Linked DNA regions of Saccharomyces cerevisiae S288C. The protein of the gene in region 2 binds, or shares a complex with, the protein of the main gene of each other region. Each region holds a gene or a part of one and is shown on either strand. Other genes may lie near its edges. The genes, in order: EAF3, RCO1 and UME1. A codon is read from its position in the direction of its gene.

Region 1 (3,451 bases), on a different chromosome or scaffold from region 2:
GTTGTTTTTTGCTGCGTCAGAGGGTTAATGACTTCGAAAGACCCTTTTCTCATATAAGACGCGCCACAGAAGAATGCGCACGACAACGGACTATTTTAGATTATATAATGGCGCGTGTGATGCTGCTTTAATCATGTTGCATAGACCATGCAATTACACTAAAAATATAAAACAAGGAGCCCTGGACAGAACTTGGTAGTGTGCAAACGAGTAAGTGAAGATGATAGTACATTATATACGAAGCTCTTAGTAAGCTCATACTAGATGCGAAACGATGGATACGTCAGAAAAATAACAAAAATAAAATATAATCATTAATGATGTTTTAACTCGACAAGCCCCTTTCAGAGCTGCCATTACCCTAAGAACCTTGCAAAGAGAATAAACTTGAATTTCGTAAAGTGCCACGAACAGTGTCCATATTCTTACACGAGATATTCTGTGAAGAGTTATTGCATAAATACGGAAGAACTAAATACTAGAAATAATCCCAAGCTAGAATATAAACGTCTCACATACCTAAAGCCACTCCTTCGTATTGGCTAGACGTATTTACATACAGAGCATCGTCACTTCTATTTGGATCCTTGTCATTGAAGTATTCGTCCACATGCATCAACAACCAAACCAAGAAGTCTTCGGTTTGTTTGATTAAAAGCTGACAGCTTTGTAGATCCATTGTAGTAGACGAGATCAGCTCTGGTAAAACACTTATCAACCTTAACAGATGGATAGCCCCATAAATTCTAATTGGTACTAGTGGCTTTTGATCCTTCGATGATTTTTTCAGAAGTTCGTCATATTGCAGCCGTTCCAACCTATATAAAAGCATATTACCCAGGCACTTGTCAAAATACAACTTGAGACCGGCACAGTATTCGCTCAACTGTGACTGGGACCCTGGCGATTCCAATTCTTGACTCACTTCATGTTCGTATTTATTCAGTACCATCTCTACCGTCACATCAGCGGGTAGTCTGCAAATTTTTTTGTCCTTCGTTACGTATTCCCAATCGTCGACTAACACGCTCTTCAATTTTATGGGAATTTGAAGGGAAATCTTGGGGGTTGGATAGCCGGCAATATGATGTAGCATATTTGGCGATAGCGAAGAAGATCTTCTGCGGTCATCATTCCCATTTTGGTCGGATGACGAGCGCAAAGAGCTGCCAGGATGGAGGGAATTAGCGGAACTTCTTCCGCTTTTCCTGCCGCTCACTGAAGATGTTAAAAAACTCTGTGAAGTGCTCTTACTTATACTAGCATTCGAGCGGCTGTCTCCCTTTCTTTTTCCACCATTACTAGGCCCTCCCAGACTAGTGGAGAGCTTCTTTTTTTTCTGCTGTTCCAGTAACGATTTCTTAGCTTCTTTCGCCTCGTTCGCCAGTCTTTTTTTCATGGCAATATTCTCTTCATTGTAGGCCCGTATCCTATCATATCCAACCCACTCATCCCAACTCGACTTCCAGCCTTGGTAATGTATGAAAAAACACTTCCCATTAATGATCTCTTCTGGAATGCTTTCATCTTCTCCCAGCTTTTGTGGCTTTATTTCCTTAGTTGCTTGTGAACTACCACCTGGCTTGTCATTAGGAATGCTGGTATACATTTTCGAAGATGGATCCCATATTTTCAAGATCTTTGCTTCATACATAAGAGGACCATGGAATGCCAGACACCGCCCACCGAGCGCAAATTCCTGCTCCAAATCAACCATTATACGTTCTTCAATAGGGTAAATCCAGTGACGAGGCCTCACAGATGCTAATGCAAAATGCTATATGCTTTTAACGACTGTTTTGCAATATACCCTTTTACGTTTCTGGTCGGGATTTCGGATGCATCTTTATTTTCATCTTTCGTGAAATGCGATATGTGGCGATCGCCGGAGGAACGGCCCCCAATCTTCGCCACCTTTTTCTATCAGCATCGGTTGGTTAGTAATCTCGAATCACATGGTACCTCTTTCTTCGAGGAGTGGTAGCTCCTGTACGCTGTAGCGGTAGTGAAAAGGCAATATATCGGAGTTGGTGAAGTGAGTTAAATCTCTACCTTGCGTTTTTGATAAGTAAAAAGCAAGCACAGCTTAAAGGATAAACAGGATTTTATTGAAGCAATTTTTAATTATAATACATTGTGGATAGAACGAAAACAGAGACGTGATAGATGAACGTTTCAAAAATACTTGTGTCGCCCACGGTCACGACAAATGTTTTACGCATATTTGCTCCCAGGCTACCTCAAATCGGTGCTTCTTTGTTAGTTCAAAAAAAATGGGCCTTAAGATCAAAGAAGTTCTACCGTTTTTATTCTGAAAAGAATAGCGGTGAAATGCCTCCTAAGAAGGAAGCTGATAGCTCTGGAAAGGCATCCAATAAATCCACGATATCTTCAATCGACAATTCGCAACCACCACCTCCATCGAACACTAATGATAAAACCAAACAAGCGAACGTAGCTGTGTCACATGCTATGCTAGCAACTAGAGAACAAGAGGCCAATAAAGACTTAACGAGTCCTGATGCACAAGCAGCCTTTTACAAACTTCTCTTACAATCAAACTACCCGCAATACGTGGTCTCTAGGTTTGAGACCCCCGGTATTGCGTCATCGCCTGAATGCATGGAACTGTACATGGAGGCCCTGCAGAGGATAGGCAGACACTCGGAGGCTGATGCCGTTAGACAAAACCTACTGACAGCCAGCTCTGCTGGCGCAGTTAACCCATCATTGGCGTCATCTTCATCAAACCAGTCAGGTTATCATGGTAACTTTCCATCGATGTATTCTCCGCTTTATGGATCTCGCAAAGAGCCACTACATGTTGTCGTATCTGAATCAACTTTTACTGTTGTATCGAGATGGGTAAAGTGGCTGCTTGTTTTCGGTATCTTAACCTACTCTTTTTCTGAAGGTTTTAAATACATCACAGAAAATACAACGCTACTAAAGTCGTCAGAAGTAGCCGACAAATCAGTTGATGTAGCTAAGACAAATGTTAAATTTGATGATGTCTGCGGTTGTGATGAGGCCCGTGCGGAATTGGAAGAAATTGTTGATTTCCTGAAAGATCCAACTAAGTACGAGTCCTTGGGTGGTAAACTACCAAAGGGTGTACTGTTGACTGGACCTCCTGGTACAGGTAAAACTTTGTTGGCTAGGGCCACTGCCGGAGAGGCTGGTGTAGATTTTTTCTTTATGTCAGGTTCTGAATTTGATGAAGTTTACGTCGGTGTTGGTGCTAAACGTATCCGTGATTTGTTTGCTCAAGCGCGTTCTCGTGCACCAGCTATTATTTTTATTGATGAATTAGATGCCATCGGTGGTAAGCGTAATCCAAAGGACCAAGCTTACGCCAAACAAACGTTGAATCAGTTATTGGTCGAATTAGATGGTTTCTCACAAACAAGTGGAATTATTATTATTGGTGCCACAAATTTCCCTGAGGCTT
Region 2 (4,362 bases):
TACATACCAGAGAGCTTGACTGAAAAAATACAAAACAATATAAAAGCTAAAATCGGACGGATTCTTCACACGTCACAAACTCAAAGACAAAGGCTTCAAAAGAGGTTATTAGCTCACGAAAACAATGAATCACAAAAAAAAAAGAAGAAAGTTCATCATGCGAGATCACAGGCTGACGACGAAGAAGGTGATGGGGATCGAGAATCAGACAGTGATGATGACAGTTATTCACCGTCTAACAAAAATGAAACCAAGAAAGGGCACGAAAATATTGTGATGAAGAAATTGAGGGTCAGGAAAGAAGTTGACTACAAAGACGATGAAGATGATGACATCGAGATGACTTAGAAGGGAAAAAAACATCAATTGCTATGTTGTAAATGGAAAAAAAAGGAAAATAGGTAGATCTCTCACTTTAAGATGCGATACATATGCCTATGTATGTGTGTATATATGTAAGGAAGGTGTTCACGTTCCTGATTTATTCTTTATGTATGTACGCCGTTTCTATTCGGATTGGTTTTCGGGATTTTCTATGTTTAAAAATTTTAACAGTTCTTCCTTTGGTTTGGATTCGATAATCTTCTTTAAATATAACAGATGCTTTATTTCATCGCTGGAAAAGTCATTGAATTGTATAGAATCTAGTTCGTTCGGCACGACTACGTTAGTCAGTTCTTTCAAATCCCATAATTTTCTTAAGTTATTGCTTTTGGAAGCCGATTTATTGTTACTACTCTTGTCGTTGTTGCTAACTTGGAAATATATTAAAGAGGCTATGTCTTTGACCATATTATCCTCGCTATTGCCATTTTGGGATCCATTTGATACTAACTTATCTATTAAACTTTCTTGAAATTGAAAGAGTTTTCTTTTTTGAACCATTTTTGATTTGTAAATTTTATCAAAAAAATCATATTTAATGGAATTTTCATCTATTTGTGTAATTTTGAAATCTTGATTGAAATCATAATCTGTATGACTAGTTGTTGGTATGATTTGAATGTTCCCGTTATTTTGGTAGCCTATTTTTTGTAAAGGTTCATAATAAAGTTGGTTTTTCTTGTTTATCAATCGTTGTTTTTTCCACACCTTATAATTTACGCTATTATCTTCTTGACAATGGTGTATCTTTTTGTAAACTTTAGTTGGGGAATGTAGAGGACATTTCCATTTTGAACCTAAGTTCTTGAAAGAAGCCCTCGGTACACAATCCAAATGCCATGGAGTCTGACAATAATCACAAGTCATTATTAATCTTGAATTTTCTGGATGAGACCATGAACCTAGTCTGGTTTGATTGCATTTGTAACAAATTAAAAACTTACCTGAATTTGAATCTATATGTGTATCCGGGTTGTAAGAGTCCAATTTAGTTATGCTTTGGCCATAAGAAGTGTTAAACAATTGTCTATCAGTTAATGGAATCTTATCATTCTCATCAGAGTATTGTCCTCTCGAACCCGTTTTCACAGCAGGAAAGGTTTCTTTTATATAATTTGGTAGCTGGAACTGTTTTGGGTTGTGGGAATCGATATTGAAAAGTAATTTAGCAAAAATCTTGACGTTGTTATTTTGCTTAATGAAGTTGGATTCAATTTTTTTTAAAGTTGCCATTGAGTTATTTATGAAGATTTTAAACTTACATTCATTACAATGCCAATCACCTTTAGGCAGGTTGTTCGGATCAATTGGTGGGTCTAAGCAAAGAAAGTGAAAGGATTTGGGGCATGTATCACAGCATAAAAAAGAACCTGACTGATTACAAGCCGAACAAAAATCTTCATTCTCAAAATCTATGGTTGAATTGTTCTTGTCCCTGAAAATTTTTTCACTCGCATTCGATGTTGACTTGATGGAATTTTGGCCAAATAGTTTACTTTTTGAATCATAGGTAGCATTCGTTGAAAGTATTATTTTGGTTCTAATATTTGATAGCTTTTTATTATCGCGGTCGCTTTCAGGTTCACGGTCACGAGTTCTGTTTATTATATCGCCATTCCAACCAATAGTTGACCGTATATTGCTCTCTTCAGTCATGTTCTCAGTTAAAAACGTTTTCAAATCATTTCTGTTCAAATCCTGAAAATTTTTCGGCACCTGAGTAAATCTTTTACTGGGGACCAGCGTCATTTCTGAGTTGTTCGATTGGCCTCCCAAATTTTTTCTATAATTCCAAAGAGACTCTCGCTTGATTTTCTCAGAAGGACCTTTATTTAACGGCAATCCAGTGACAGATACCTTCGAATCTTCCGAGATGGTGGATGGCTCATTAAGTTTGATGATATTACCCTTGGAGTCCTTTTCAAGAAGTTCCTTGGGTTCTTCTTCCGGGATATTGTCTTCAACTGCAAGATTGCTATGCTCGTTCTTGAATGATCTTTCTATACCTTCAGAAGTGATGATCTTTCTCCTTTTCAAATCGTAATTTACATTCTGGGAGGATAGTCTCTTAGGACGTTTTTTCTCTTTGGAAGAAGATGAAGAGAGAGAAGAAGATGAAGGAGAAGAACTGTTGGAATGTGAGGGCGACCTAGTAGTATCTTTCTTGCTGGTGTCCATTGTATTATTATTAGCAGATGGTAATGGAAGTGTCTTTTATAGGTTTTTCTATGGTGATTATTCTCGTTTATACTTGGTATTCTTCTTCCTTCCTCTCGTGCTTGTTGCAAATGTTCAAACGCGTAGTGGGTACGTCGTTCTCTACAAAGGAATGAGGCAGATCTTGCAGCGAGCTACTAAAACTACCACTTATGGGTTAACACGATATATATGTATTTATATCTACTAATATGGTATTAAGGCTCAAAAATAACCTTGCAACAGAGAGCAATAGTATAATTTCCTACATGAGGAAGAAAGTTGCCTATTATGGTGAGCAGGTGAAATCCTAGCTGCGAACGGGAAACTTATTCGGACGAGAAACAGATGAGAAACAGATGAGAATTTTTGGGCTGGGTAAGCGAGAATTTTTATACCACTTGTGGTTCTACAAGGAGAACCAAGAGTAAAAGTTGAAAAATCTTCTTGCTCTCTGGATTACAATTCAGGAGGAAGTGTGTGCTCAGATATGGACCCAGAGTTACAAGCTATTAGGGAAGCCAGATTGGCTCAGTTGAAAAACAACAGTGGGGGTACCAACGGCGATAGAAATAGCGGTGCTAATAATGGTGGAGGTGAAAATTCCGCTCCCGTTGGTGCAGCTATTGCAAATTTCTTGGAGCCACAAGCTTTAGAAAGATTATCTCGAGTGGCCTTGGTCCGTAGAGACAGGGCCCAAGCAGTAGAGACATACTTAAAGAAACTGATTGCTACAAACAACGTCACTCATAAAATCACTGAAGCTGAAATTGTTTCAATCTTGAATGGTATCGCCAAGCAACAAAATTCACAAAATAACAGTAAGATTATCTTCGAACGGAAAGATTTCAGCGAAGATCTGAATTCATTTGACAAGCAGAATGCTAAAAATGATGACGACGAAGATGATGACGACTTCTTTGATTAGTTTATATAAACGAATAATATGTTTTTTCGTATAATGTTACATTTAGTACAAATCATATCCTTTATAGAACTAGAGTTAAAGTTACATTAATTATGTGTAGCAAAAGGACGAATAAGCAGAATATAACATATTAGCAGGTGCTTAGATTACACTCATAGAGATATGAGTAGTGACGGCATGAACAGAGATGTTTCAAACTCGAAACCAAATGTCAGATTCGCTGCTCCTCAGCGACTAAGCGTTGCTCATCCTGCCATATCATCCCCGCTGCATATGCCCATGTCGAAGTCGTCAAGAAAGCCTCTTGTAAGAACCAAAATAAGACTAGATCCTGGGCACAGTGCTCTGGACTGGCACTCTCTAACCTCCAATCCAGCGAATTATTATACAAAATTCGTTTCGCTACAGCTTATCCAGGATTTACTCGATGATCCGGTATTTCAAAAAGATAACTTCAAGTTTTCACCTTCACAACTGAAGAACCAATTGCTTGTCCAAAAGATACCCCTTTATAAAATAATGCCACCCTTAAGAATAAACAGAAAAATCGTAAAGAAGCATTGTAAAGGTGAGGACGAGTTATGGTGCGTTATAAACGGCAAAGTCTATGACATTTCTAGTTATTTGAAGTTCCATCCAGGTGGTACGGACATCTTAATAAAGCACCGTAATAGTGACGATTTGATTACATATTTTAATAAGTATCATCAATGGGTTAACTATGAAAAATTATTACAGGTTTGTTTCATTGGCGTTGTATGCGAATAAAGGTTACCAGAGATAAAAAAAAAGTTTGAAGACTTACATAGGATATAAAAACACTACACACTTGCTTGGTTAAGTTAAATTTATTT
Region 3 (3,824 bases), on a different chromosome or scaffold from region 2:
CGTGGATTCTGATGTATCTGCGCCCAATACCGATAAAGGATCCGTAGAAACATTGCCTGCAGTCTCAACTGACGACCCAAATTGTGAAGTCAAAGTCACTGCTACCTATGACAAACTATTAAATAATTTGTCGATGGAGAGGTCAATCAGACTTTGAAGATACATGAATCCTTCTCTTCACTGATGGATCCATTTTCTTCTTCCTTTTTTTCACTGCATAAAACTTTTTTTATCAACCTTTCATATTTTCCATATTTATTTATATATACCGCCAGTAAATTTGGCGATATTCGATAGACTTAACAGATAAACTTTTTAAGATGAATTAAAGCACAGAGGATTAAGCTTACCTCTTTAGAATCAATTGATATGTTCGGCTACATATTAGACACTGCATATAACCCAAGGCGGGTAAAATATGAACAATTTCAATTGGGCTTTGTAAATGCTTACTTTTAAATGTAAACGAAGCTCATCAGAAGAAAAAAAACAAGAGATTTGGAAAAGGCTACTTCGACCTCAATAATTTCTCAGCCTATCTTTCTAATGTCATTACCACAATGGTGTCCACCGCATTCCACCTTAAAAAGAAATCCAACTACAGGAGAGGACGTATACTGCATATGTAAAAGGCCAGACTATGGGGAGCTGATGGTGGGATGTGATGGTTGTGATGACTGGTTTCATTTCACCTGCCTTCATATTCCTGAGCAGTTTAAGGACCTGGTGTTCTCTTTTTATTGTCCTTACTGTCAAGCGGGGATTACTGGTAAGAATAAGGACGCCATAATCAATGGTGAAGGGAGCTTGCCAAAAACCTTATGGAAAAGAAAATGTAGGATAAGTGATTGCTACAAACCATGTTTACAGGATAGTAAATACTGTTCTGAGGAACATGGTAGAGAATTTGTGAATGATATTTGGTCGCGATTGAAAACAGATGAGGATAGAGCAGTCGTCAAGAAAATGGTCGAACAAACAGGACACATAGATAAATTCAAGAAATTTGGACAACTGGATTTCATTGATAACAATATAGTTGTAAAAACAGATGACGAAAAGGAAATATTCGATCAAATTGTTGTACGAGACATGACGTTAAAAACTCTTGAAGATGATCTGCAAGAGGTTCAAGAGATATCGCTACCATTATTCAAAAAAAAGCTAGAACTTTTGGAAGTATATTTGGGATGGTTAGACAACGTATATACCGAAATGCGCAAGCTGGACGATGATGCTGCAAGCCATGTGGAATGTGGTAAAGAAGATTCCAAGGGGACAAAAAGGAAGAAGAAGAAAAATAGCAGCAGGAGTAGGGCTAGGAAAAATATATGTGGCTATTGTTCTACATACGAGCGAATACCCTGCTCTGTGGAAGAATTTGTCAGAGATTTTGGAAGTAATGAGGAAGCCACCAAAATACATGAGGTATGCACGAAGTGGAAGTGTAACAGACATTTGGATTGGGTGTCTACTAATCAGGAACAATACCTCCAGCAGATTGACTCTTTAGAATCTATGCAAGAAAGGTTGCAACATCTGATACAGGCCAGGAAAAAGCAACTAAATATACAATACTATGAGGAAATTTTAAGAAGAGGTTTGTAACGGCGTTGGAGCCTAATCAAATATCAGTTTCTACATATATATATACTTCGTAGTGATGATATATCAATTGGAGCGTCCTTGCATAGGCAACGCCTATTTGGATAGTCTTCAATTTCGACCCCATTTCACGTGAATAAAGCGGAGCTATCTCTGTTTTGCAAGGGTTCGGCCGATTTTGCTGCGAAATTTTAATAAGCGCATATTGATTTTTTCAAGCAATACTTTGTATATTCATGATCGAATGAATGAAAAAGCACCACTCCTCAGCCGCATACCTTCAGTATCGTATTTATTTCCTTCTTTAATCACTTAAAATGAGCACTTTAGATATTGCAGAAGACAACAAAATAAAAAATGAAGAATTCAAAATTTGGAAAAAATCAATACCCTCATTATACCAACATATTTCAAGTTTGAAGCCTATCTTTGGCTCAGGCGTTGACGAATCTCCATCGACACTTAGGAGTATAGTTTTCACTAACGATAGCTCATGTAATAAATCCAAAGGTGTTTTGAGCGTACCACTTTTATATTCTCAAGGGAGTGAAATCTTTGAGGTGGATTGTATAGTGCCACTCGGACTTCATTACAAAAAACCTGAAAGCATTTCAGAACCGTTAGTACAACCGGATTATACCATGGAATCTCAAAAGGTGGAGCAGACTGTTTTGATTCCAAAATGGGAATTTAAAGGTGAAACGATTGCAAAGATGATTTACGTGGATAACAGCGAAATAAATGTAAAGGTGATAGCCCTTTCTACCAATGGTTCTTTGGCATGGTTCAGAGAAGGTGTCAAATCGCCCGTTTACACAATGATGGAGCCATCCACTTCTCTAAGTTCAGCATCGTCCGGAAATCAAAATAAACCCTGTGTTGATTTTGCAATTTCTAACGATTCAAAAACCTTAACAGTAACTAAGGAAAAACATCTTGATAATGAAAACGCTACAATAAAATTGATAGACAACTCAGGTAAAATAGGAGAAGTGCTTCGTACAATACCTGTTCCTGGCATAAAGAATATTCAAGAAATCAAGTTTTTGAATAATCAAATATTCGCCACTTGTTCTGATGACGGTATCATAAGGTTTTGGGGTAATGAGATAGGCAAAAAGCCCCTTTGGATTCTAAACGATTCTTTGGACGGCAAAACAACTTGTTTTGCTGCATCACCGTTTGTTGATACATTATTTATGACGGGAACTAGTGGTGGGGCTCTCAAGGTTTGGGATATACGTGCAGTTATCGCTTTAGGGGATGCTGATGCTGAGTTAAATATCAACCAAGGACATAATAAAGTCAATGAACTATTCAAAGTTCATCACTTTTATAGCGAGCAAGTGTCCAAAATAGAGTTTTCTTCCATTTCGCCTATGGAAGTGGTTACAATTGGAGGGTTAGGTAATGTTTACCACTGGAATTTCGAACCTGTTTTTGCCATTTATAACGAGATACATGAGGACTTTCAAGGCATAATATCTGACGAATTGGAGGCCGAAAGCATGGCATTTTATCACACTGAGGGCTGCAGAAGAGAAATAGGAGAAAATAATAAGGTTAATACCGTTGCTTATCACAAATACATTGAGGATCTAGTTGCTACAGTTGATAGTGACGGGTTGTTAACTGTATATAAGCCGTTTACTGGAAAAGTTTTAGATGGCAGTAGAGAGGTTGGAGCTGCCAAAAGTTAATTTTTATATTATTTAGGCTGTTTGAGTTTGGGGCGGAAATGTATGAATAAATTGTGTAATATTTAGTCTTTACTTCAGCTTTTGTTTTTCTAAAAATTTGTTTTTAATGTTTTATTGTCTGAAGTAAACATTAATTATTAGCTTGAGAATTGCTCTACATGTATATATAAACGGCAAGGATCTACTCTTTAATATAGAGAAATGTACATACCTTTGAAAACGCGTTTTCAGAGTTTAGAATGTATAAGGTAACCTTAGAACCACATCTCTTATTGCCAGACTCTCAAAGGTGAACTGATATTGAGCCTATTTTACCCTTGTTTATGTTCACTTTCTCAATGCGAAAAAAAATCAAAAAGAAATAAACTTTATCCTTAGAGTTGAAGAATTAGAAAGAGAATAAATCAAAGGGATCAGTTGGGAAAGCTCAATACTTTCCGCTTAATTTTACTGAAAACCTCATCAAACACGTAGGCACATATATATTCATATATTTATATGTTGGCTACCTTCTAATTT

Evidence for each region.
Region 1: the proteins of RCO1 (region 2) and EAF3 are in contact, whole or in part, in a cryo-EM structure (PDB 8HXX), measured with the Saccharomyces cerevisiae proteins. Residues at the interface, in NP_013791.1 of Saccharomyces cerevisiae: Cys266 (codon at 1,767), Gln268 (codon at 1,761), Gly270 (codon at 1,755), Ser271 (codon at 1,752), His283 (codon at 1,716), Phe284 (codon at 1,713), Leu285 (codon at 1,710), Cys286 (codon at 1,707), Leu287 (codon at 1,704), Asp288 (codon at 1,701), Pro289 (codon at 1,698), Pro290 (codon at 1,695), Pro293 (codon at 1,686), Glu323 (codon at 1,596), Asn330 (codon at 1,575), Asn332 (codon at 1,569), Val333 (codon at 1,566), Lys334 (codon at 1,563), Ile335 (codon at 1,560), Phe336 (codon at 1,557), Lys338 (codon at 1,551), Leu339 (codon at 1,548), Leu340 (codon at 1,545), Asn342 (codon at 1,539), Ile343 (codon at 1,536), Asp344 (codon at 1,533), His346 (codon at 1,527), Asn347 (codon at 1,524), Pro348 (codon at 1,521), Lys349 (codon at 1,518); in NP_015348.1 of Saccharomyces cerevisiae: Leu222 (codon at 1,054), Ile224 (codon at 1,048), Ile226 (codon at 1,042), Lys229 (codon at 1,033), Ser230 (codon at 1,030), Leu232 (codon at 1,024), Val233 (codon at 1,021), Asp234 (codon at 1,018), Trp236 (codon at 1,012), Glu237 (codon at 1,009), Tyr238 (codon at 1,006), Thr240 (codon at 1,000), Lys241 (codon at 997), Glu280 (codon at 880), Tyr281 (codon at 877), Ala283 (codon at 871), Gly284 (codon at 868), Leu285 (codon at 865), Leu287 (codon at 859), Tyr288 (codon at 856), Lys291 (codon at 847), Cys292 (codon at 844), Gly294 (codon at 838), Asn295 (codon at 835), Met296 (codon at 832), Leu297 (codon at 829), Leu298 (codon at 826), Tyr299 (codon at 823), Arg300 (codon at 820), Arg303 (codon at 811).
Region 3: RCO1 (region 2) and UME1 share a complex: the UniProt entries of both Saccharomyces cerevisiae proteins name them as parts of the RPD3C(S) complex.

Annotation. Positions count from the first base shown.
Region 1 is NC_001148.4:608,315-611,765, forward strand, and holds EAF3 (Eaf3p), read right to left. Parts: upstream 1,718-3,451; coding exon 512-1,717; downstream 1-511. Other genes in the region: i-AAA protease YME1, read left to right, coding at 2,167-3,451. UniProt on the Saccharomyces cerevisiae protein: Component of the NuA4 histone acetyltransferase complex which is involved in transcriptional activation of selected genes principally by acetylation of nucleosomal histone H4 and H2A. The NuA4 complex is also involved in DNA repair.
Region 2 is NC_001145.3:412,182-416,543, reverse strand, and holds RCO1 (Rco1p), read right to left. Parts: upstream 2,563-4,362; coding exon 508-2,562; downstream 1-507. Other genes in the region: sister chromatid cohesion factor PDS5, read left to right, coding at 1-348; YMR075C-A (uncharacterized protein), read left to right, coding at 491-856; SDD2 (Sdd2p), read left to right, coding at 3,071-3,508; IRC21 (Irc21p), read left to right, coding at 3,671-4,276. UniProt on the Saccharomyces cerevisiae protein: Catalytic component of the RPD3C(S) histone deacetylase complex responsible for the deacetylation of lysine residues on the N-terminal part of the core histones (H2A, H2B, H3 and H4).
Region 3 is NC_001148.4:289,150-292,973, reverse strand, and holds UME1 (Ume1p), read left to right. Parts: upstream 1-1,922; coding exon 1,923-3,305; downstream 3,306-3,824. Other genes in the region: protein phosphatase regulator GIP3, read left to right, coding at 1-157; SPP1 (Spp1p), read left to right, coding at 547-1,608. UniProt on the Saccharomyces cerevisiae protein: Catalytic component of the RPD3 histone deacetylase complexes RPD3C(L) and RPD3C(S) responsible for the deacetylation of lysine residues on the N-terminal part of the core histones (H2A, H2B, H3 and H4).